Nothobranchius furzeri: one gene and its partners. The protein of the gene in region 2 binds, or shares a complex with, the protein of the main gene of each other region. Links are inferred from orthologs where the notes say so. Each region holds a gene or a part of one and is shown on either strand. Other genes may lie near its edges.

The links.
Region 1: the proteins of acad9 (region 2) and ecsit are in contact, whole or in part, in a cryo-EM structure (PDB 8PHE), measured with the Homo sapiens proteins. The link is inferred for Nothobranchius furzeri from reciprocal best matches to the Homo sapiens genes ACAD9 and ECSIT. Residues at the interface, in NP_054768.2 of Homo sapiens: Leu180, Thr181, Asp188, Ala189, Ala190, Ser191, Ile192, Lys228, Lys239, Asp240, Lys241, Ile242, Phe293, Ala296, Met297, Leu300, Ile431, Met434, Tyr435, Leu438, Thr439, Leu441, Gln442, Gly445, Thr449, Leu516, Gly520, Lys521, Ile523, Met524; in NP_057665.2 of Homo sapiens: Pro321, Glu322, Glu323, Trp324, Asn325, Leu326, Tyr327, Tyr328, Pro329, Met330, Leu332, Asp333, Leu334.
Region 3: acad9 (region 2) and tmem186 share a complex: the UniProt entries of both Homo sapiens proteins name them as parts of the mitochondrial complex. The link is inferred for Nothobranchius furzeri from reciprocal best matches to the Homo sapiens genes ACAD9 and TMEM186.

The regions. Positions count from the first base shown.
Region 1 is NC_091743.1:88,487,145-88,492,120, reverse strand, and holds the start of ecsit (evolutionarily conserved signaling intermediate in Toll pathway, mitochondrial), read right to left. Parts: upstream 3,211-4,976; 5' UTR 3,095-3,210; intron 2,949-3,094; 5' UTR 2,923-2,948; coding exon 2,833-2,922; intron 1-2,832.
Region 2 is NC_091743.1:6,044,539-6,049,084, reverse strand, and holds part of acad9 (complex I assembly factor ACAD9, mitochondrial), read right to left. Parts: intron 3,965-4,546; coding exon 3,894-3,964; intron 3,812-3,893; coding exon 3,692-3,811; intron 3,610-3,691; coding exon 3,481-3,609; intron 2,214-3,480; coding exon 2,134-2,213; intron 1-2,133. UniProt on the Homo sapiens protein: As part of the MCIA complex, primarily participates in the assembly of the mitochondrial complex I and therefore plays a role in oxidative phosphorylation.
Region 3 is NC_091744.1:5,452,812-5,456,957, forward strand, and holds tmem186 (transmembrane protein 186), read right to left. Parts: upstream 2,268-4,146; 5' UTR 2,005-2,267; coding exon 2,002-2,004; intron 1,723-2,001; coding exon 1,057-1,722; 3' UTR 911-1,056; downstream 1-910. Other genes in the region: gde1 (glycerophosphodiester phosphodiesterase 1), read left to right, coding at 2,720-2,989, 3,646-3,821, 4,045-4,146. UniProt on the Homo sapiens protein: As part of the MCIA complex, required for efficient assembly of the mitochondrial complex I.

The DNA.
Region 1 (4,976 bases), about 82 Mb from region 2:
TGAGTTACCCTGGCTCATCCATTTAGTTATGCTGTATGGGTTTAGACTGCTGGAGGACATACTGAGTTACCCTGGCTCATCCCTTTAGTTATGCTGTATGGGTTTAGACTGCTGGAGGACATACTGGGTAACCCTGGCTCATCCCTTTAGTTATGCTGTATGGGTTTAGGCTGCTGGAGGACATACTGAGTTACCCTGGCTCATCCCTTTAGTTATGCTGTATGGGTTTAGGCTGCTGGAGGACATACTGAGTTACCCTGGCTCATCCCTTTAGTTATGCTGTATGGGTTTAGACTGCTGGAGGACATACTGGGTAACCCTGGCTCATCCCTTTAGTTATGCTGTATGGGTTTAGACTGCTGGAGGACATACTGAGTTACCCTGGCTCATCCCTTTAGTTATGCTGTATGGGTTTAGACTGCTGGAGGACATACTGGGTTACCCTGGCTCATCCCTTTAGTTATGCTGTATGGGTTTAGACTGCTGGAGGACATACTGGGTAACCCTGGCTCATCCCTTTAGCTATGCTGTATGGGTTTAGGCTGCTGGAGGACATACTGAGTTACCCTGGCTCATCCCTTTAGTTATGCTGTATGGGTTTCGACTGCTGGAGGAAGTACTGGGTAACCCTGGCTCATCCCTTTAGTTATGCTGTATGGGTTTAGACTGCTGGAGGACATACTGAGTTACCCTGGCTCATCCCTTTAGTTATGCTGTATGGGTTTAGACTGCTGGAGGACATACTGAGTTACCCTGGCTCATCCCTTTAGTTATGCTGTATGGGTTTAGACTGCTGGAGGACATACTGGGTAACCCTGGCTCATCCCTTTAGCTATGCTGTATGGGTTTAGACTGCTGGAGGACATACTGAGTTACCCTGGCTCATCCCTTTAGTTATGCTGTATGGGTTTAGACTGCTGAAGGACATACTGAGTTACCCTGGCTCATCCCTTTAGTTATGCTGTATGGGTTTAGGCTGCTGGAGGACATACTGGGTAACCCTGGCTCATCCCTTTAGTTATGCTGTATGGGTTTAGACTGCTGGAGGACATACTGGGTAACCCTGGCTCATCCCTTTAGTTATGCTGTATGGGTTTAGACTGCTGGAGGACATACTGAGTTACCCTGGCTCATCCCTTTAGTTATGCTGTATGGGTTTAGGCTGCTGGAGGACATACTGGGTAACCCTGGCTCATCCCTTTAGTTATGCTGTATGGGTTTAGACTGCTGAAGGACATACTGAGTTACCCTGGCTCATCCCTTTAGTTATGCTGTATGGGTTTAGGCTGCTGGAGGACATACTGAGTTACCCTGGCTCATCCCTTTAGTTATGCTGTATGGGTTTAGACTGCTGGAGGACATACTGGGTAACCCTGGCTCATCCCTTTAGCTATGCTGTATGGGTTTAGACTGCTGGAGGACATACTGAGTTACCCTGGCTCATCCCTTTAGTTATGCTGTATGGGTTTAGGCTGCTGGAGGACATACTGAGTTACCCTGGCTCATCCCTTTAGTTATGCTGTATGGGTTTAGACTGCTGGAGGACATACTGGGTAACCCTGGCTCATCCCTTTAGTTATGCTGTATGGGTTTAGACTGCTGGAGGACATACTGGGTAACCCTGGCTCATCCCTTTAGTTATGCTGTATGGGTTTAGACTGCTGGAGGACATACTGGGTAACCCTGGCTCATCCCTTTAGTTATGCTGTATGGGTTTAGACTGCTGGAGGACATACTGGGTAACCCTGGCTCATCCCTTTAGTTATGCTGTATGGGTTTAGACTGCTGGAGGACATACTGAGTTACCCTGGCTCATCCCTTTAGTTATGCTGTATGGGTTTAGACTGCTGGAGGACATACTGAGTTACCCTGGCTCATCCCTTTAGTTATGCTGTATGGCTTTAGACTGCTGGAAATACTGGGTAACCCTGGCTCATCCCTTTAGCTATGCTGTATGGGTTTAGGCTGCTGGAGGACATACTGGGTAACCCTGGCTCATCCCTTTAGCTATGCTGTATGGGTTTAGGCTGCTGGAGGACATACTGGGTAACCCTGGCTCATCCCTTTAGTTATGCTGTATGGGTTTAGGCTGCTGGAGGACATACTGGGTAACCCTGGCTCATCCCTTTAGTTATGCTGTATGGGTTTAGGCTGCTGGAGGACATACTGGGTAACCCTGGCTCATCCCTTTAGTTATGCTGTATGGGTTTAGGCTGCTGGAGGACGTACTGAGTTACCCTGGCTCATCCCTTTAGTTATGCTGTATGGGTTTAGGCTGCTGGAGGATGTACTGGGTAACCCTGGCTCATCCCTTTAGTTATGCTGTATGGGTTTAGGCTGCTGGAGGATGTACTGGGTAACCCTGGCTCATCCCTTTAGCTATGCTGTATGGGTTTAGGCTGCTGGAGGACATACTGAGTTACCCTGGCTCATCCCTTTAGTTATGCTGTATGGGTTTAGATTGCTGGAGGATGTACTGGGTAACCCTGGCTCATCCCTTTAGTTATGCTGTATGGGTTTAGACTGCTGGAGGACATACTGGGTAACCCTGGCTCATCCCTTTAGTTATGCTGTATGGGTTTAGACTGCTGGAGGATGTACTGGGTAACCCTGGCTCATCCCTTTAGTTATGCTGTATGGGTTTAGGCTGCTGGAGGACATACTGGGTAACCCTGGCTCATCCCTTTAGTTATGCTGTATGGGTTTAGACTGCTGGAGGACAACATCTCACTCTGTTGACCTCGCATACTGAGGACACGCTAAAACCCGTAGGGGTTTGTTCCCGGGCCAGGTGTGCTCGTGTTTACGACACTGCCTGGTTAAAAAGCTCACCTGGTGCTGACGGTGGTTCTGGTTGGTCTGACCGGAGGCTGGTCTACCGGACCGGAGCAGCAGCGGCAGGAGGCTGCGGGAACACCTCATCGTTGCGCTTTCCGACTAGCTCACAGCTAACAGGACGAGACAACCAGGTGGGCACTTAGGTTTCAGGTAAAATGACATCATCGTTACATTTATGTATGCTGTAGCAGACAGCTAGTGTCGCGCGCTGCCTGAACCGGATGTTCCTCTAACAACAGCAGGCTGAAAAACTCACTGTGAATTCAGTCTCCTTCAAAACTCGTCTCTGTGCTCGCCTCCATGTTAGAAAGCCGCGAGAACGTCCTGTTTCTACACCGAAATACTTCCCCTTGAACAGCGGGAACATTTACCGAGATAATCGTTCCGCTTGGCTTTTTTTTTTTCTTCTGACTCATTTTCGTCTAAAACTCAAGTATTTAATATGAAAATAAAAATGTGCTGCGGAGGCTAATTCATAACAAAAACTATTAAAACTGTAATCATGAAAGGCTAAAATAAAGACTGGTTTTACAGCATCACAAAAGGAATACGTGTTTTTATCATTTAAAGGAGCGACTGTTAGGAATCAGAACAAGCACACCACACAGACTACAGATTATTCATGAAAAACTGACAAGACAACATCAGTGTAGGGGCGACGGTGGCACAGGAGTTAGGTGCTCACCCGTAACCGGAAGGTTGCAGGTTCAAGCCCCGCTCAGTTTGTTGCTGCTGTTGTGTCCTTGGGCAAGACACTCAACTCACCTGCTGCTGTTGCTGGTGGTGGTCGGAGGGACCGGTGGCGCCTGTGCTCAGCAGCCTCACCTCTGTCAGCGTGCCCCAGGGCAGCTGTAGCTCATCACCACCAGGGTGTGAATGTGTGTGTGTGAATGGGTGAATGACTGATTGTGTTGTAAAGCGCCTTGGGGGGTTCCATCACTGTAGAAGGTGCTATATCAAACACAGGCCGTTTATGATTTAAAGACTATGACCTCTGGTTTCCTCCCACCTACCAAAAACATGCATGTTAGGTCAGAGTTGTTGTTTGTCTGTGTCGTGTGTGTGTCCCTGTGACGGAACAGAGACTTCTAGAATGGAAGATCCATTAACTCAAAGACAACAGCAGTCACAGTCAGTTTTATTGTCAATTCTACCACATGTGCAAGACATACAGAGAAATGAAATTGAGTTTTAGTACACACAATTCAGAGATCAGACATACATGGGCAAGACACATGACAAGAATTAGTGACTGTGGTCATTCGCAACACGAGTCGTGCTACCTTAAAAGATGAAAAGGGAATTACATGAGGATAAATTGGGGGAGGGGAAAAAAGGCACACCAGAGTTACTCCCGGCAGGGCGTAGCTTTACTATGCAAAAAAAAAAAAAACGCCTCAAACATATAAGCACGAACATCACAGTTCACAACATGAGACTCCGATGGGGGGGGGGGGGGGGCTGGGATCCTGTTTCCCCAGGGCGAGCAGCCCTGTGTGGCGCTCAGCCAGCTGTATCCACAGGAGGGAGGGAGATCTTGGAGAAGCGCAGAGCACATTTGAGTTCCTGCAGGTTGATGACCTCACTAGAAGTCCACAATCTGAAGGGGGGGGGGGGGGACGGGTTTTCACAACATCTGTTTGCATTCCTTCCTTCATGGGGGTTGTTGTCAGCAGCTCAAGGCTGCCTTGGCGTCAGATTTGGATAACAAGACTTTGTTTGGGTCAGGCTGAGATAATTTTCCTCTCTGCCTTGAAGTCTGTATTGATCATTCAAGTCCTCCAGTTAAGCCAGTTCAGGTTTTAATCATCCCCACACCGTCCGGTGACCCTCTCTGAGATAACATCCATTTTGTGCACTAATACCGGTAACGCAGCAAGGACATTGTCCAGCTTACGATTCACCTCGAGTAACGTCCCAGTCTGTGAGGTCACCGCCCAGGCGGTGCTTTCCGTGGGTGCGGGTCGCCCTCCAATCCCTACATCTGAACTAAAGCTTGTAAGCTGCTTTGGATAAAAGCATCTAAATGTATAAACACAAACACCAAAACATAAAAAGTGCCAGAGTAAAGAGAAATTCCCACAGTGGAATCATCTAAGGGCTGATATCAGCGAAGAATGGAGAAGACCTTTTTATTC
Region 2 (4,546 bases):
TGCATGCGTGCATGTGCGCTCCTCACAGCAGTGAGAGACAGAGAAAAACAGCTTCAGTCAGAGGGTCGCTAGCTCCATGCATCCAGAATGATAATGAATCGCACATGCAGGAAGCCCCGGCAGACTGATCCTATTTACCAATCCGAGGCTCCCGTATTGCTACGCATGATTTTGAGCCAGACAATCAGTCAGCAGCATGCGTGCTGGACCAGTTTAGCTCCAGGCAGACTGCCTCAGGAAGAGGGCTGAAAAGACATCCGGTTGCGTGCGGGAAAATCCAAGGCTATCTAAATGAGAACACTTCCAAACTGGTCCAGGCGGAGGTGAGGTGATCCTCTCTTTCCAGTCAGTTCACGAGTCTCCAGAAGAACAAAAACATGAATGCAAGTCAACGGGGCTAAAAGAGCTATTTTTAAATCTGCTTTCCCTTAAGCCCTGAATCGCACATATGTTGTACTTAAATTTAAATGAAAAGTAATGTGTATTTCAACCACGCCAGTCACGTACTTTGAGATTTATCGGCTTGTAAAAATTCATAATTAGCATGTCTACAAATCAATCGTTGGTACGTCGCATATATGAAGTCACCACAAAATCTCCTCTCCCCTAGCGTAGCTGCCACATGACCAGATTTATGATGGTTATTTCTCCCCGAAAGCAGGGTTTGAATTTCGCTGAACTTACAACCATAATGGACATTCATGTCAACCAGGTAGTTAAGACCTGTTATTACCACCTGAGGCGTCTCTCTAAAGTTAAGCCCATTTTAAAAAGGCGTCATCTTCATTCAGTTGTCCATGCATTTATTGCTTCCCGTCTCGACTACTCTAACTCAGTGCTGTACGGTATCTCCTCCTCCACTCTCGCTCGACTTCAGCTTGTGCAGAACGCAGCAGCTCGTTTCTTGACTGGCACCAGGCAGCGGGAACACATCACTCCGGTTTTAGCAAATCTCCATTGGCTCCCCATCCATCTCCGGATAGAGTTTAAGATCCTGGTTTTTGTGTTTAAATCCCTAAATAACTTAGCACCTGGCTACTTGTCTGAGCTCATTCACCCATATGTCCCTACAAGATCTCTCCGCTCAGCTGACCAACACCTCCTACATGTCCCTAGCTCTCGCTGTAAGTCCCGCGGGGAGCGCGCCTTTTCAGTTTGTGCACCGAAGCTCTGGAACCACTTGCCCCTCCCGATCAGACTCTCTTCCTCTCTTTCCCTTTTTAAGTCTCGTTTAAAAACTCACTTTTATTCTCTGGCTTTTAATTCTGTCTAACTTATTCCCTTTCTACCTTTCCTTTTAGGGTTGGATTACTTGATTTTAATGGATTTAGTTTTTATTTTTGATTGTTTTTATTGTGTGTTTTGTTCAGCACTTTGGTCGGCTCTCATGCCGTGTTTAAATGTGCTATATAAATAAAATTGGTATGGTATGGTATAATGACCTTCTTTGTGTCTGGTTCGATGACGTCATATTGGTGATGCGCATTTGTAGTCCTGGTTGCATTTTCACAGAAAACCTAAAATAATGTTTCCCCTTGTTCGAAAATAAGCAATAATTTTTAATTCTTCTGGTGACCCATGTTCCGGAAGTAGACAGGCGTGACTTAGGCTCCCTATAAGACTCCAAATCATGCCGTCTGAAGCTTACCTCTGAGGTGGCTTACTTCTAGTTCCTGAAACAGGCACATCTGAGCTTATTTCCCCCCAAAGTACAACTTATAAGGCATTCATTCCTACTAGAGACCACTGCACGTGTATTTAAACATGAGTACAGTTGACCTTGAAAGAGTAAGTCATCCCCAAATGAACTTTTCTTTGCTGATAAACTGTATAAATAAGTCAATGTCTAATAGAGCTGTAGACACTTGTAGTCATTATTTTTGTGTTTTAGTTAATCTTAAGAATTTAGATTTTCTGCCTAAAACCGTCAAGAGTGACTTGTTACTCCAGAGTTTTTCAGCTGGCATCTGACAAAACTACCACTACATATCCCTGTGACTGTAATGTGCCAACCCGCTACAACGAGTTCTCCCACTAGAAAAGTTGTAAAAGAAAACCACCCAAACTGTGCAGAATAGAGCCGAGCCAAGTCAAGCCACAATGAGTAGTGGAAAAGGCCTTATAGACACATACTTTACTTTCCTAGTGAGGACATTCCCAGCATGCTGCATTCCAGTCAGAGCAATGTACATCCTCAGGATCTCATTGGTTCCCTGGACACAAACAATACATTCAGAACAATTTTTTCTCTCAAGGATGGGCTCAACAAAACTTTTATCAGCACATTTGGTAGGATAGTTTTAGGGGTAATTTCATTCAAAGGTTGTGCTTCACTGAGAAAAACTATCACAGACTAACTTTTGAAGTTATAGTCCTGCTAAAGGGTACAGTGTTTTCCTTCTATTGGCTTTACCCTGGCGCTGTGTAACAGATATAATGGGTTTGTGTCACTTTAAGACTTTGTTGGTTGCAAAGGAATGATGTCATAATCCAGCAACAACCTTTTATCCTGGGTGTTTCTCAATGCCTTGCCTTGATATCTTGGCCCCGCCCCAGTTGCCTAGGAGATACGTCATCGGGAGCCGCCAACACGTGTTCCAATTTTCATGTTCTACTGAGGGGTGTGTTCTCCGTTTGTTAGCCGTTTAGCTAGCTGAGCGAGGATACACGGGAGGTGTCTTCTTGTAGCCTAGCCTTGGTCAAAAATCACCCATAACACACCGCAGTATTTTCAAAAGGACGGCGGATCAGAAGCCGGCAGCGACTTTGGGGGCAAATTTCAAGTTTAAAAGTAACGGTTGGATCTAAAATGACGACTTTAGTCGTCATTGGCAGTGAGTGAGTTAATTGTTGGCGTGGACTTTATGACTCTCAATTCATTGACAACACATGTACCCTCCAGAACTGTTATCATGGGCGACAATCCCTCATGTTCCTTCTTTACAATGTAAGTTTGCGTCTTATGTGCATTGCAGCCCCCCCCCACCCCCCACCCCCGTTTCTCACAACTCTGGACCTCGCTCGAGGTTACTGGCAGGTGCCCATTGCCAGTGATGCTAAATCAAAAACAATTCCCCATGCCGCTGCCTTTTTTGTGAAGATCTCTATGTTCTTTTGTAGAAGTTTTCTAATGCTCTGGGATATGATGCTGCAAGTATGAACTTTTCCTTCTCGTTTGCTCGACAATGTACTGGGAAGCATCCTGTCTGCTCATTGGTCAATCAATGAAACCTTCACTGATTGGTCCTTGTCCGAGCGACAGCAACGAAAAGTTGTCATTTTTCTTCATTCTGGGATCACGTCGCTGGCTCGCCTATGCACGACACATGCACAAGTGCAAAAGAAAATCTGAGTGGTGGCTGCAACTCAGTTTCCATATAATTTCTGTTGAAAACATTTAAGTTTCACCAGTACATTAGAAAAAAATGTCTTTTAGCTGCTAGAACATTCCAATGTGGATCTCACTAGTTTATCCAGTACCTCAAAGATGGGCAGGATGCGACAGTCCCTGAGGTAGCGCTCAAATGGATAGTTCTTGGTATAACCCAGCCCTCCCAGAACCTGCAGAGCTTCACTGCAGCAGACCCAGCCTCCCTCGGAGCTGAACACCTGCAGAGGACAGACAAGACACTGTAAGAACAGTTGTCTCACACTAGTTTCATATGAAGATAAAATATCAAAGCAATCTAACCTTCACCATGGCAGCCTCGAGGGAACACTCTGGTACTCCTGGTCTGTCCATCATCCCAGCTGTCAGGTATGCCATGCTTTCCATCACAAAGGCATTAATGGCCATCAGTGCAAACTTCTCCTACAGGATCAAAACAAACTCTTCACACATTTCTAACACAACCATTCACTGAACACATTCCACTCAGAGGTAACTCCCCTACCTGGATCAAACCAAACTCACTCAGACTTCTATTAAACTGTTTCCTGGTTGCAGCGTATTCTGAAGTCAGCTCTGTGGAAAAACAGTTGTTACTAGCCTGCAGCCATGATCATTCACTAAGTTATCAAAGTCAACATTCAGCAAGTCCTACCAATCTTGAGAGATTAAAGATCAACATCACTCAAATTTTAACACATTTGCAGAGGTCTCTAGTAGGAATGAATGCCTTACAAGTCCTACTCTGAAGAAAAGACTCAGGTGCCCTGTTTGAGGTAGGGGTGGGTGATATGGGAAAAAAATCATATCACAATTTTGTTTTAGAAAAATCATTATCACGATTTTATCACGATGCATTTTCTGAAAATTCAGATGTTTAAAACATACCTCTTCACAGAAAACAGGATAAAAGATTTGATAATCCTAAAAAACATTAAAATTCCAACATCTACTCATCCATCCATCTAAACACAGTTGAGAGCAAGAGATATATGTCTCAAATTCCCCACAGGCACTTTTATTTAATTACATATTTTTAATTAATGTAAAATAACTTAAATTGTAACTAGAGGTGGCTCATATCCTATCATCCACAATATTACCAGTAATTATGTCTTGTCCAGAGAACAAATCTATCATGTTAAGTTTAATGGGCTC
Region 3 (4,146 bases), on a different chromosome or scaffold from region 2:
TTTTGTTTTAAAATTCTGTCAGTTAACCATCTTTTCAAACATTCTCATTTATATCTCTTGGTGGATTTTGTCTCATTTACTAAAGATGCAAAAGTTTTGTTTCATTTTAGTAATTTTCCCTGGACATTTCTTGCTGTTAGCTCTTATTCTCTTTTGGCTATTTTGTTTCTATGGGATCTACTGACTCTTGGTATAATCACTAAATGCTCCAAAGGCCTGCCAAAAGGTTTTAACAACATACAAGATGATATGAGAAACAGGAAATAATTGACCCTCGTGTTTGATAAAAGCTTATTACCAGTGCATTTTAAATCTGCAGCATAATTTTGCTTTATTTTTTTGACTGAGTTGCAATGGAAAAGTGTTTCTGATGAGTTTGGAGAAAATTTCCTATACAGGAAACTCAAATGCATGGATTTTATCTTGTAATTATTTGAATGTTTATTGGAAGAACTGATTAGATGTTTTTGTCTAAAGATGTATGTTACAAATAGCTGAAAATGTTTTAATTGAAAATGCCTCACTGCAGTGTCTCTGATATTTGTAATTTGTCAACTTAAATTTTTTATAACTTGTGTACGAGACCATAATCAGTCTGCTTCACAATATTAGTTTTTTTATCTGTAACATATAGAATTCTATTAAGAAACCCAAAAAATTATAGATTTTCCAAATAAAATTTATCAATAGTCACATTTCCATGCAGGATGATCAGGTTGGAAGAAAACTCAACTGCAGGATTCCTCTAAAACTCCAGGGGGGTTTTATGACCACATTCAGACCTCTAATGGACCAATAAGATCAACAGTAAAGGGAATAGATCCACTCTGCAGAGCCATCAGATATTAAACACATCAAAACATTTACCTGTCCGACTCACCTGGCCAGGTAAAGAGGCTAGAGTCAGACACTCATTAGTCACATTTATTTAAATCAAGAAATGAAAACATTGAAATTGAATCATTTATTTCAAAACAGGATATTTTTGTATATTTGTTGGATCTTATTACAATACTTGAAAGCAGTGATTTAGTTGATCACATTTTGAATGAAGAATTATTTTAGCCTCCCAAACACTCTCTCAAAGCCCTGCTTGTCAACAACGCGTCCGTAATAAGTAGAAAAATACATTGTCTCTGGACTACTGTATCTCTTCAGTTTCAGTATGGTCTCATTCTCCATGTCTCCTGTGTCCCAGATGGTCAAAACGTCTGACACGGGTAGGTAGGTGTCTTGACGCTTGCCCCAAAAAGTGAGGTGAGAAACTTTGAGTGTGGTCTGGGATGGATCCAGGTACATCATCCCCACAACCCTTCTAAAGAAGTGACTCATAGTATACAGCATGACACCAGCAAACAGTGCAATCCCCGTAGAGTAGCATACTAGAAAGAAGGACACGTCACCCTGGAAGTAAAGGAAATACATGGGTGGAATGATGACCGCAGTGATTGCAGTTTGGAGCAGTTTGAGCCTGGACACGACTCTGAGAAGCTTAATGTGTGGCAGCGTGTAAATCATAGAGAATTTCTGCGTGGATAGGTCTGAGTATCTGACGGAGGTTGTGATTTTAGGAGTGAGGGGTCCATGGGAGGTCTGATGGATGGGTGTATGACCTGAAAAATGAGACTGTAAACCATTAGACACTCGTCCAGAGAGTAAACATGATCCTCTTGTGCAGGACAGGGTGTGGTGGGTTAATCTGCTCAGCAACATCGACCTGATCTGTGGGGGAAAAAAAACATTAAATACGACATTCAGTCAGGCAATATGCAGTCACCTAATTGAGCCAAATATTAACAGCAGAATAAAGTCTCGATCTGTTTTACATTAAAACTGTTAACCCTTATTCAGAATGAGGTCAAATTAATCTCCTAGCTGAATCAAATCAAGCTCAAGGGCATTTCGCGGGTAGGATTGTTTGATCTATTTGATCCACCAATTCCTTTGAATTTGATAACACTGTAATAACAGTAATATTAATAGTCTCACTATGATGCTCACCATGGCCAACGACTGGTTAATTCACAGGTAAAGTCAAAAATAGTCCCAAGTCCACTTTTGGCATGAAGACGTCCAGCTTTGTGACCCGGATGTTACAACCGTGTGTTCCTAAAGATCTCGTTTACTCTCCTCACATTAGAAACATTAGTAAAGTATACATTTTAATTTAAAAAATGTATGAAATTGTTCACACTGAATAAGAGCTGCAAACGGCATGTAGCGAACCTATTTAGAACCACATCCGGGGATGCGCCGAGATGTGTTTCGGTCCGTCGAAAAATGTTTTCCCCACTTAATGAAATATATTTCAAGCCTCCGAGATATGTTCTCCAGCAAAGTGGGATTTACAGTTGTTTTAGTGTAGAAGAATAAATGTCATTGAATGTGTGATTCGTGAAATAACGAGTTAGTTTTATTGGTTTACTTTGACAAAGGTCGCGCCTGTTTTACGTAACATCCGGTCACAGCCGTTACGACGTGCCACCTGAAATGTTGTCCTCCCGTTTGGTCGTTCAGCGGCTCAACCGTCCTAGCAGTTTCTAGCTTTCTCCGGCTTAGATGTGGTTTAATGCTCCACTTAATAGCTGCTGTCAGAATATAACACGGAGCATGGATGTGTGTGAAACATCGCGTTTTTAACCAAGAAAAATAGCTTAACAGGAAAGAAAATGTCAAACTGAAGAAAATCTGCGCTCGTGAACCCAAGAAGTCGTCTACAATGCTTCAGCTGGGAGATGAAGTCACCCTCTACTCACTTGTCCTCGTGGTGGTCCTGCTGGGGACGCGGAGTCCGGTGTGGTCGGCTGTCCTCACCGCTTCCCTCTACTTCTTTCTAGCCATGTTTCGGTTCCCGCAGGTGACGACCAGCCGAGCCCGGCAGGTGTTGCATCCAGACTCCCGTGCAGTGGGCAGCGGTAAGGTGTCTGTGATCGCTCACCGGGGCGGAGGACACGACGCACCGGAGAACACAATAGCAGCCATACGGGAGGTGAGAAGGGACACTGGGGAGGGAAGACGTTAAACCGTTAACCTTCACACGACCTAGAGCGGCTGTTTCTTCTAATGGCGAGATTTAGTTAGTCATTGATTAAAAATGTAATACCTCCACTTTAATACACATTTGTGTAACACCCGCAGATCAGCCCCCAAGATGTTACATGAAGTGAGTCTGACCAACCAGCATTAATGTGGGCAATGAAGCACAGAATCGGATCGCTTCAAAAATAGATAATTTATTAAAGATTGCAAAAGCTAAAAGTCCAAATAAAAGCTCGGTCTGTGCAGGTTGTGCCTACAAAACAGGGCAGGGAGACCAGTTCAAATCCAGGGGGAAGTTGAATTGTCTTCACCAAACCAACATGTATGAAGGTAGTGACGATGACTTGAGCTTCCCCCAATCGGCCCAGTGCTGCACCCACACAATTTACACACACTCACACACACACACACAGTGTGATACAGCTCTCCCAGGTTACATTTGCACTATCTAACCATTTAAGGAGATTGAAATCTAAACGTGCTTATTTTCAAATGAACTAAACCAAAGTGTGTACGACACACGTCAAAATGTTTATAATGTGATATTTTAATGCATCTACTTTTTTGGCTCACGGTGACTTGGTTCTCCAATGCTTTTACCTGCAGGCCAGTAAGAATGGTGCAACTGGTGTGGAGTTAGACCTGGAGTTCTCCGCTGATGGGGTCCCAATACTGATGCACGATGAGACTGTGGATCGGACCACCAATGGGTCGGGACGTCTCAGCCAGATCAAATTTTCAGAGCTCAGGAAGCTGGATGCAGCTGCAAAACATCGGCTCAGGTGAGAAACAGCAAATTGCTGAGTTAGCAAAGCCTACTTCCTCTTGTACGTTCATAATGCGTGTTTTATCCTACTGCGTTGCGGTTTGTGCTGTGTCAGAAAAAAAGAACCATAATGCAGAAGCCTGCTTCCTTTTAATTTATTCTGCAATAAATAAAAACAGATTTCCTTTAAAATAAGTTTGCTCTCCAAGTGAGTGTCACTCTTATTCCTTCATCACTAGGAACAAGTTTGAAGGTGAGAAGATCCCAACTCTACAGGAAGCAGTGGAGGAATGCATCAGACTGCAGCTCACCATCTATTTTGATGTCAAAGGTCATCCGGA